Linked DNA regions of Coturnix japonica. The protein of the gene in region 1 interacts with the protein of each later gene in a biochemical or structural test. Links are inferred from orthologs where the notes say so. Each region holds a gene or a part of one and is shown in the gene's direction. Other genes may lie near its edges.

Region 1 (4,036 bases):
CTTGTGACTTCTGTGGGAATCTAGATCCTGTGCATACAGTCTCTCTCCAAACTGTACCCATTGCAGGGGCAGAGCAGTGCCTAGACTCCAGCATGGGCTTTGGGTGGTAATGTACCAAGCACCGTGGGATGGCTTGATACACCCCTTCTGCATCTCCATGAGCAGCCTGGAGCAGAGGTGCTGTGATGGGCAAGAAAGCAAAGGCTGAGAGCATGACTATCTTGTGAAGTCCTACCAGCATGCAATTCTTGATGATTTCCTAAGTATTTAGTAAGGGATGTTGTAATCACAATTAGCAAGTATGCTCTTAACATTCTTGAAGGGAAACAAATTTTGCATAGAATGAGTTGAAGACCTGGTAGCTGTAGATGTTTATATGGGAGGCTGGAGGTTTTCTTCTGGCTGTCTTAAGTGTACTCTGTGGTTGCCTCCAAGTCTGTCTCCAAAGTTGTCTTGCTTCCTTCCTTAAGAGAAAATGCTCATGATTGCTTAAGTCATTGTGTTTATTTGTGATTCATGTAGCTGGAGCATTAGGGTTTATTTTCCTCCACTGGAGTTACTTTTTGAACTGAAGAGCACTTTGATGATGCTGCTGCCATCATAACTGTCATTCACAGGCAGCTCAGGTATCTGCACATCTTATCCCTTTCTTCATTGTTATTTTCCTTGGAAATCACTGGTTAAGAGGACTTAAAGTAGTCTTTGTTTCCTGATGTTCAGATAATTACCACAGCTTGTATTTCTAGCAGCTGATTTCCTAGTTCTCAAATTGCTCTGATATGGTTCCCTGCTCCTCAGCTGACCACCCCAGGTGTATGGGAACAAGGTGGAGTTGCAGCTGGTAAAACACTGGGATGGGCCCTGCCTCAGAGCTCACAAGCCTCATCCTCCTGCTCTGGGGGAAAGCCAAGTCTTCTGTTTTAAACAACTTTTTAAGAGAGTTTACTGGTCCAAGTTCAATCTGATTGTAAAGCTGAAAGAAGAAAGGAAACACAAAGCAAAGCCAAACTGAAAATGGACTTTGGCGTATGCCGGAAGTAAAAGCCAAAGCTTCAAGTTACGTTGTTGTCTGAGCAGCCTGCACATGCTCATGTTGCCTGCAGGAGAAATAACTGGAAGGGTGTGGTTCTCTAAACCTTGAATTGCTCAGGTGTGTGCACTTCAACTTTTATTTTGCCTCCTGACATGCTGTGGGCTGCTCTGTGTGACACAGCTGGTGGCTGCTCTGCTGTAGGGATGGGGCCCTATTGCCAAAATACAGTGACAGTGCATCAGTGGGACTCTGCCAGCAGCCAGCACAAGGCACAGCCAGGCCAGACACGTGAGTTTCAAGGTTTGCATTTCTTTTTAACTGATATTCTCACTTACAACCTACCAGAGAAGCAAACGGGTAAGGACATACTTGGGCAAAACAAACTTTATTTGGTATCTTCTGTTCACCTTCTCCTCTACTTATTTATACTCAGTTCTTAATGAGTTCTGTTTTCATTCAGTACTGGTATGTGCAGTGGTTGCAAAACTGAGTATGTGTGAGTATATGTCATCTCACAAAAGTTTCATCTGTACGGATGAGCCTGATCCTTTTTGTCAAAACAAGGTCCATGTACAGACATGGCAACACAGAGGTCAGGACTGCTGTGAAGATGCACAGACATCCTCGCACCCTGAAGGAGATACTTAAAGTACTTCACAGGTTTAAAGCGAAGCACATTTTGAGTGTTTTTAATTAATAGCTGCTGGGTACTTAAACATCTACCAAACAAAAACACAACTCGGGGAAAGTGTTCACATTGGATTGGTAATTCACACTTTTCCCATATGCCTGACACAAGAACAGGGCTCGACCAACAGCAGGAAAGGCAGGAGCAGGTGAATGTTCTGGTCAATATATAATGCGGATGTTTCTTCACAGTCTGCTACTGAAATAGATTAGAGCACACAATCTCTGTTTGTTACACCCCCCTCTCCCCTCCCCAACCAGACTTGTTTTCATTTGTTCATTCAGTGGGACACAAAACAAAAGCAAGGTATCTTTGCCACTTTATCAAAGCAGCATGATCTATTGTCTCCTGTTGCTAGGAAAGAACAGAAATTATCTTTAACTAAATTTGCCATCAGGCATTTTGAAAGATGCTGCCTCGCAAGGACTGGTATCCTCAGTTCTTCAATCCAGTTTTCTGAGACTGAGAGCTTCCTCTCAAGGAAGCAATCTGTTACTAATTTACTATTTTATACTCTTCCACCCAGACCTCAGAGGCTGTGTGTATTTTCCAAAAGTATAAATTGAATCAGTCTGGGGAATCTTGACTCTTCAGTATCCTTTTCTTGCCACCTGAAAATACTCTTCCTTCTGCTTCTAATTAATGTTACTTTTCTGTAGTCCTGTACAAGTGTCCCCCAGTCCCTCACGAGAGCTCTGCTTTTTGGAAGGAGGTTCCAAGCCTGTGTGTCTGAGTATTAACTGCATCAGGACTTCACTGTAGCACAGACTTGGAAGGCAGAATGTCACTGGCTCCAAACTGCGATTGTCTATCACAAGAAGAAATTGATTTGTCTTTTGGAAGAGGTTTGAAGGGGCTGGCATCTTACCCCTGAATAACTTTTCTTGTGCAAAATGCAAATAAATCTTGCATGCAGAATGAGATGACAGATTAGCCTCATTTTGCTGCAGACTAGGAAATCAGGCAGTATTGTTTCCAGCAGGAAGGTAAATCTCTGAAGGCTTTCCAGATGCTGGCTGCTGAAGGGCTGCAGCCAGTTATTTCTGAAGCCCTCAACTCTGCAAGCTGGCCTGGGGCAGGCAGAGGCTGCAGCTCTTTTTGAGGGGCTGTCTCTGCAGCCAAAGCTTGTGAGATGTATTCCCTCTCGAGTTAAAATGGACAGACACTTGTGTCAAGTGAGATTGCTGGTTTTGCAGTTGTTTGAGATGCAAATCCACCTCTTCCACTGGTATTTTTGCTCCTAGAACCTGGGAGGTGCGACAACTGACTTTCCCCAGGCTTTCCCTAAAGCCTTCAGCTGTGTGTTTAAGGAAGGTCATTGCACAAATCCTATGATTTGAGGGAACCAAGCTTGGAAGCAGAAAGTTTCTCTTTTGGTAAACATTCAGGGAATGGTTCATAGGCAGCTTAGGTCAGGTGCAGCTGCCTCTGGCTGCACGCTGCTGCCGTTCCTCTCAATAAACATCAGTTACTGCTTGACAAGGAAATCGATGAACTAAATACCCTGAAATTTCCTACCCATTTAGCAGTCCCTGGCAACACTCTCCTCCGTCCTTTGGTTTCACTTTAACGTACCTTTACCATTCTTCTTAAAACAAAGAGAATTAATAAAACAATAGTTTGCATGCACCAACAACTCCTTACTAAGAGGTGACAGCTACTTCTCTGCCTGGATTAATGCATTTTTTTTTTCAGAAAATGCAGCCGCTTAAAGGAAGAAATTCAAATCAGACAAAATTCCCCTGTCTGTGTGCACATAGCAGATCACATCTGAGCATGTGGTGCACACTGGCAGGAAGCAGGACAGCTTGAGCATGTAATGCCTAATGGGTTTCTCATCACAGGAGTAAGCAGCACACAATCTCACACCCATCAGACTGGTTCTGGATGCGGATGATAATTTGGCTGCATAATTAATGATCTTCTGCAGCTAGTGCCGCTCTCCTGTCCTGGCTGATAAAACCTTTGTGAGCCTCTTCGTTTCAAGGAGAATGTTAAAAGACCATCAGCAGTATGTTTGTTAATTAGTGTGGACTTTAGGTCAAAGTTTTCACAAAGCTCCAATTAAAGCAGCAATGACTCGAAACCAGTGAGCAGTACCGTACACAGGGTTGCTGCTTCCCAGCACTGAGCAGATGAGGCAGAAGCAGGCTCCAGAGGATGTGATGGTAACCGAGAGCCCAGACACTGTCATAAACAAACTTTATTCACTGATACTTTTGTTGAACAGAGATCTTAGTCATTGTCCTGACTCATGAGAGCTGGACAGAGCTGCTCCTATTGCCCGAATACTTCTTGTTCCCCCAGTCCTTCCC
Region 2 (3,566 bases), on another chromosome or scaffold:
TGCATACCAGAGGAGAGGTGCTTTCTAGAAAGACACAGTTAAAGCGTCTGTGCAAATCGCAGAGCAGAGTGTTTGCTCACAAATCTGCATCAGCTGATGGTTCCTTACAATCCGATTGTACTGAAAAAAATACAAATCACCTGGCAGTGTGCAACAGCACCGAGCAGGAAGAAACCATCCGTCACTGTGTAGTATGTGCAGTTTTGGCTGGTGAGAAGTAGTATAGGAGCCTGGCAAAATCTCATGGAACTTTTATACATGAAATACTGCATTTTTTAAAGTATCTACTTGCTTTTGCTGTGCTGTGGAGCGGTGTTTTCACAGTCTGAAGGAGCCTGTGGCTGTTCTCCGCTCTCCTGCTGTAAGTGGTGCTTTGCTGAGCTGTGCACACTCATCTCCAGTCTCAGCATGACCCAGTCCCTGTTTCTGCTGTAAGAACTGAAACAGCTGAGCTGTGCAGAAGTGCAGATTGCTGTTTGCTGGGCACCTTCTTGCTACCTGGAAGAGACATCAGGATGAAGAAGAAATTCACCAAGGAATTAGTAGGGACAGGAAATAATTCTTCTTCTCCAAGCTCCTCAATAGACTGCAAGAAGCTGGTTTTCTCTCTTACGGGAATCTCACATGCTGATGTGGGTGAAGCCTAGGAAAATATGTGATATTTGTATCAGTGTCATGCCTCTAAATGGATGGATTTTTTTCCTCATGTATCCATTCCCTGGATCTAAAATATAACTGAAAAAGAGAAAACATGAACTTCAGCAGTCAAAGTCTGAAATGGATCTGAGGGCAATTACATACACTGATTAATCAAACATGAGCTGAAATGCATTTCCCAAAGACACTCCATCATGTACATACCCAGGTGATGGTGCATTAAGTGGGCTGCATGCCAAGGTTGGCTGACATGGTTGAGGAGATCGCTTGTGAATTCATTGACTTTTCTTCCTCCACCTTGAATCCCTTTAATCTTCCCAGAGCCCCCAGAACCGGGTCGTTCATTTTTCCAGGAAATAAATCTCAGATACTCAGTTAAATCCCTTTTTCTGCCATCGTGCAGGTAATAGAGGTGTGGCAGAGCGTTGTTCTGGTATCTTTCAGTTTAAGCTCAGTTCTTGTAAATTTTACTCTCAGACTTTCTTTTCCCTTCTTTCTCACCACCTTTTCCTTTATTCCTGCTGTATTAACTCAATATTGACTTTGTTGCTTTCTTTCCAATTATTTCTTTTTCTTTCCAAGATAGCGTCAGGCTTTGCTTAACTGTTGTTTTTGTTGGGGCTGGCTGTTTTTTTCTCAGATGTTTATTGAACAAAACAAGATGAAAAGGCAAAGCCAGCTGCTTCTGCAGAATTCTGCCCCCGATCAGCAGCTTCTGAAGGCGCTGGATGACAATGCTAAGCTAACCCACGCGTTAGAAGAAGAGAGGCTTCAGCATCAACAAAAGGTAAAACTGCTTCTCATTTCATGCAGAAATCTTTGAAAGCTTCTTGAATTGGAGGATGAATTAATGCCGTGGTTTGCCAACTACAGGTCAAAGAATTAGAAGAGAAGCTAGAAAACCAGGCACTGCATAAGGAGATTAGTCGCCTTAAACAGCAGCTGGAACTCTTAGAAGAAGATAAAAAGGAACTAGAGCTTAAATGTCAGAACTCTGAAGAAAAAGCAAGAGACCTAAAGCATACAGGTAAAACTGTGTAATGAGTTTACTTCTAGAGGTATAACACAGCTCCTGCTGTGTGTAGCCTTGCTATGAGGACTGTGGGCCTATGGTTTGTTGATTTGATGGTCTTTGTTTTCAGTCCTTTATTCAGCTGAAGGCCTAAGCAGGTACTGGTTTTAAGTTTGAACCCCAGTCAAAGTCCCAAATCCTTATCGTAAGATAAATGAAACATATTCCTAAGAGCAGTATTAACACTTGTTAGCAGTGTTTTTTGTTGGAGCTTTACATTACCCAGCCTTAAAAATACACTGAAACAGCCTTTTCTCAACTGTCTTTGGACAGATCTAAACATCACAGCAGAATTTGTCCTTCCAGATTGGTTTGTCTTTCAGAAGGAATTTGTCAACATTAAGTTTGTACCTGGGGTTTAAAGTCACTCCGTTATTTATGCTTCTTACTTTACCATTTAAAGACTGGAATTTCAGTTTGAATTAATCATAATGAGAACTGAAGAGTTATATGCAGAAAGTGGGATAATCCCATTCCCCCTCAGCTTGAGCTGTTTGGTGAGGAAAAAAAGACGACAAAGTCCATCAGGAAGACATGATATCAGTTTCTAGCTTCATCTTTGTTAATTTCTCTCATCTCTTATTTAGTTTGTTATTTAAGGCTGCATACGATGCCATTCTGTGTTTTCTGATGTACACTGAGGACTCATTCAGCTTCCATGGAAGTACAGGAGGCTGATGTGCCTCAGACCTCATGTAGATTGCAGTAGTGTGAATGTGATAAACTTTTATCTGTCCTGAGATTTTACAGAAAGAATTCTGTTTGAGGAGTGTCATTTTAGTTTCAAAGGTAGCCCAGGTTGCAGTAAATGGTATAGTGTGATTTCTGTGCTATTAGGAGGCTGCTGAGAGTAGAAAACATTGCCTGAAATAGGACTTCCTAGCAACTGAGTGGTTTTGGGGTTAATTAGTAGCTTCTTTTGCTTAAGCTGTCGAAGTTTTTAGAGCAGATGCGAGAAGCAGAGTCCTCACTCAAGGTTTTTTCTCTTGCACAGTTGATGAACTTCAAAAACGAATACATCAATCTGAAAATCCTGCACCTCCTCCTCCGCCGCCACCACCGCCCCCTCTCCCTCCTCCACCTCCTCCTAACCCCATACGGTGAGTGCTTAAAGAGTCAGTGCTCTTCACTGAAGGATAAGTCGGAATACAGAATATCTCACCAGGAAAAGTGTCTTTAAAAAAGGAAGGTTTTCTGTCTGATCTGGGTTTTATTCCTTCCACTTTGCAAGCTGGACACTCTGTTCACTAACAGTCTTGCACCCTGACCAGTTGTGAACAGTGTTTGTCTTCCCAAACCTAATCTATTGTCTGGACTGTGACTTTGGATGAGGAGAGACACCCGTCTCCTCTAAATTTAGGCAATGTTTTTTTTATTCACCTGATAGCTGTAATTACAGACTTGTGAGGTGCTTGTCTGAGTCTGCTTCCAAGAGTACCCCTTTGTACCAGAGGATGTCTTGGATGATAACTGTTGTCCCTTCCTGTCAGATAAAATTAAGATTGAAGTTTTCAAAGAATCATAAAAGAAGTGAGCCAATACCATGTGTTGGGCACTAACCACAAGTAAGTGGAGTCCCTAAAGCATTTGGCTTAATTTTAGGAACTCAGCTAACGTTCCTGTAGACTCTATATTTGCTTGAAATAAAACACATGCTGCAGTGCACTGTTGAACTGTGAGGAAACAGATATTGGCATCCAATATGTTTTCTTCCATAACAGTCCCCATTTGGTTTAGAAATACCACTTCCAAAAAATCTTGGAAGTCGAAGAGCTGTCCTTGCTGTGCATGAGTCCTTGTTTTGGGTGATCTTTCCCTCCATTTTATTTATGTATTT

Evidence for each region.
Region 2: the proteins of LNX1 (region 1) and SHTN1 form a complex in vitro, tested with the Homo sapiens proteins (2 studies listed by BioGRID). The link is inferred for Coturnix japonica from reciprocal best matches to the Homo sapiens genes LNX1 and SHTN1.

What each region holds. Positions count from the first base shown.
Region 1 is NC_029519.1:59,244,869-59,248,904, forward strand, and holds the start of LNX1 (E3 ubiquitin-protein ligase LNX), read left to right. Parts: upstream 1-1,173; 5' UTR 1,174-1,321; exon of another isoform or gene 1,322-1,333; intron 1,334-4,036.
Region 2 is NC_029521.1:25,821,536-25,825,101, reverse strand, and holds part of SHTN1 (shootin-1), read left to right. Parts: intron 1-1,297; coding exon 1,298-1,444; intron 1,445-1,530; coding exon 1,531-1,684; intron 1,685-2,723; coding exon 2,724-2,829; intron 2,830-3,566. UniProt on the Homo sapiens protein: Involved in the generation of internal asymmetric signals required for neuronal polarization and neurite outgrowth.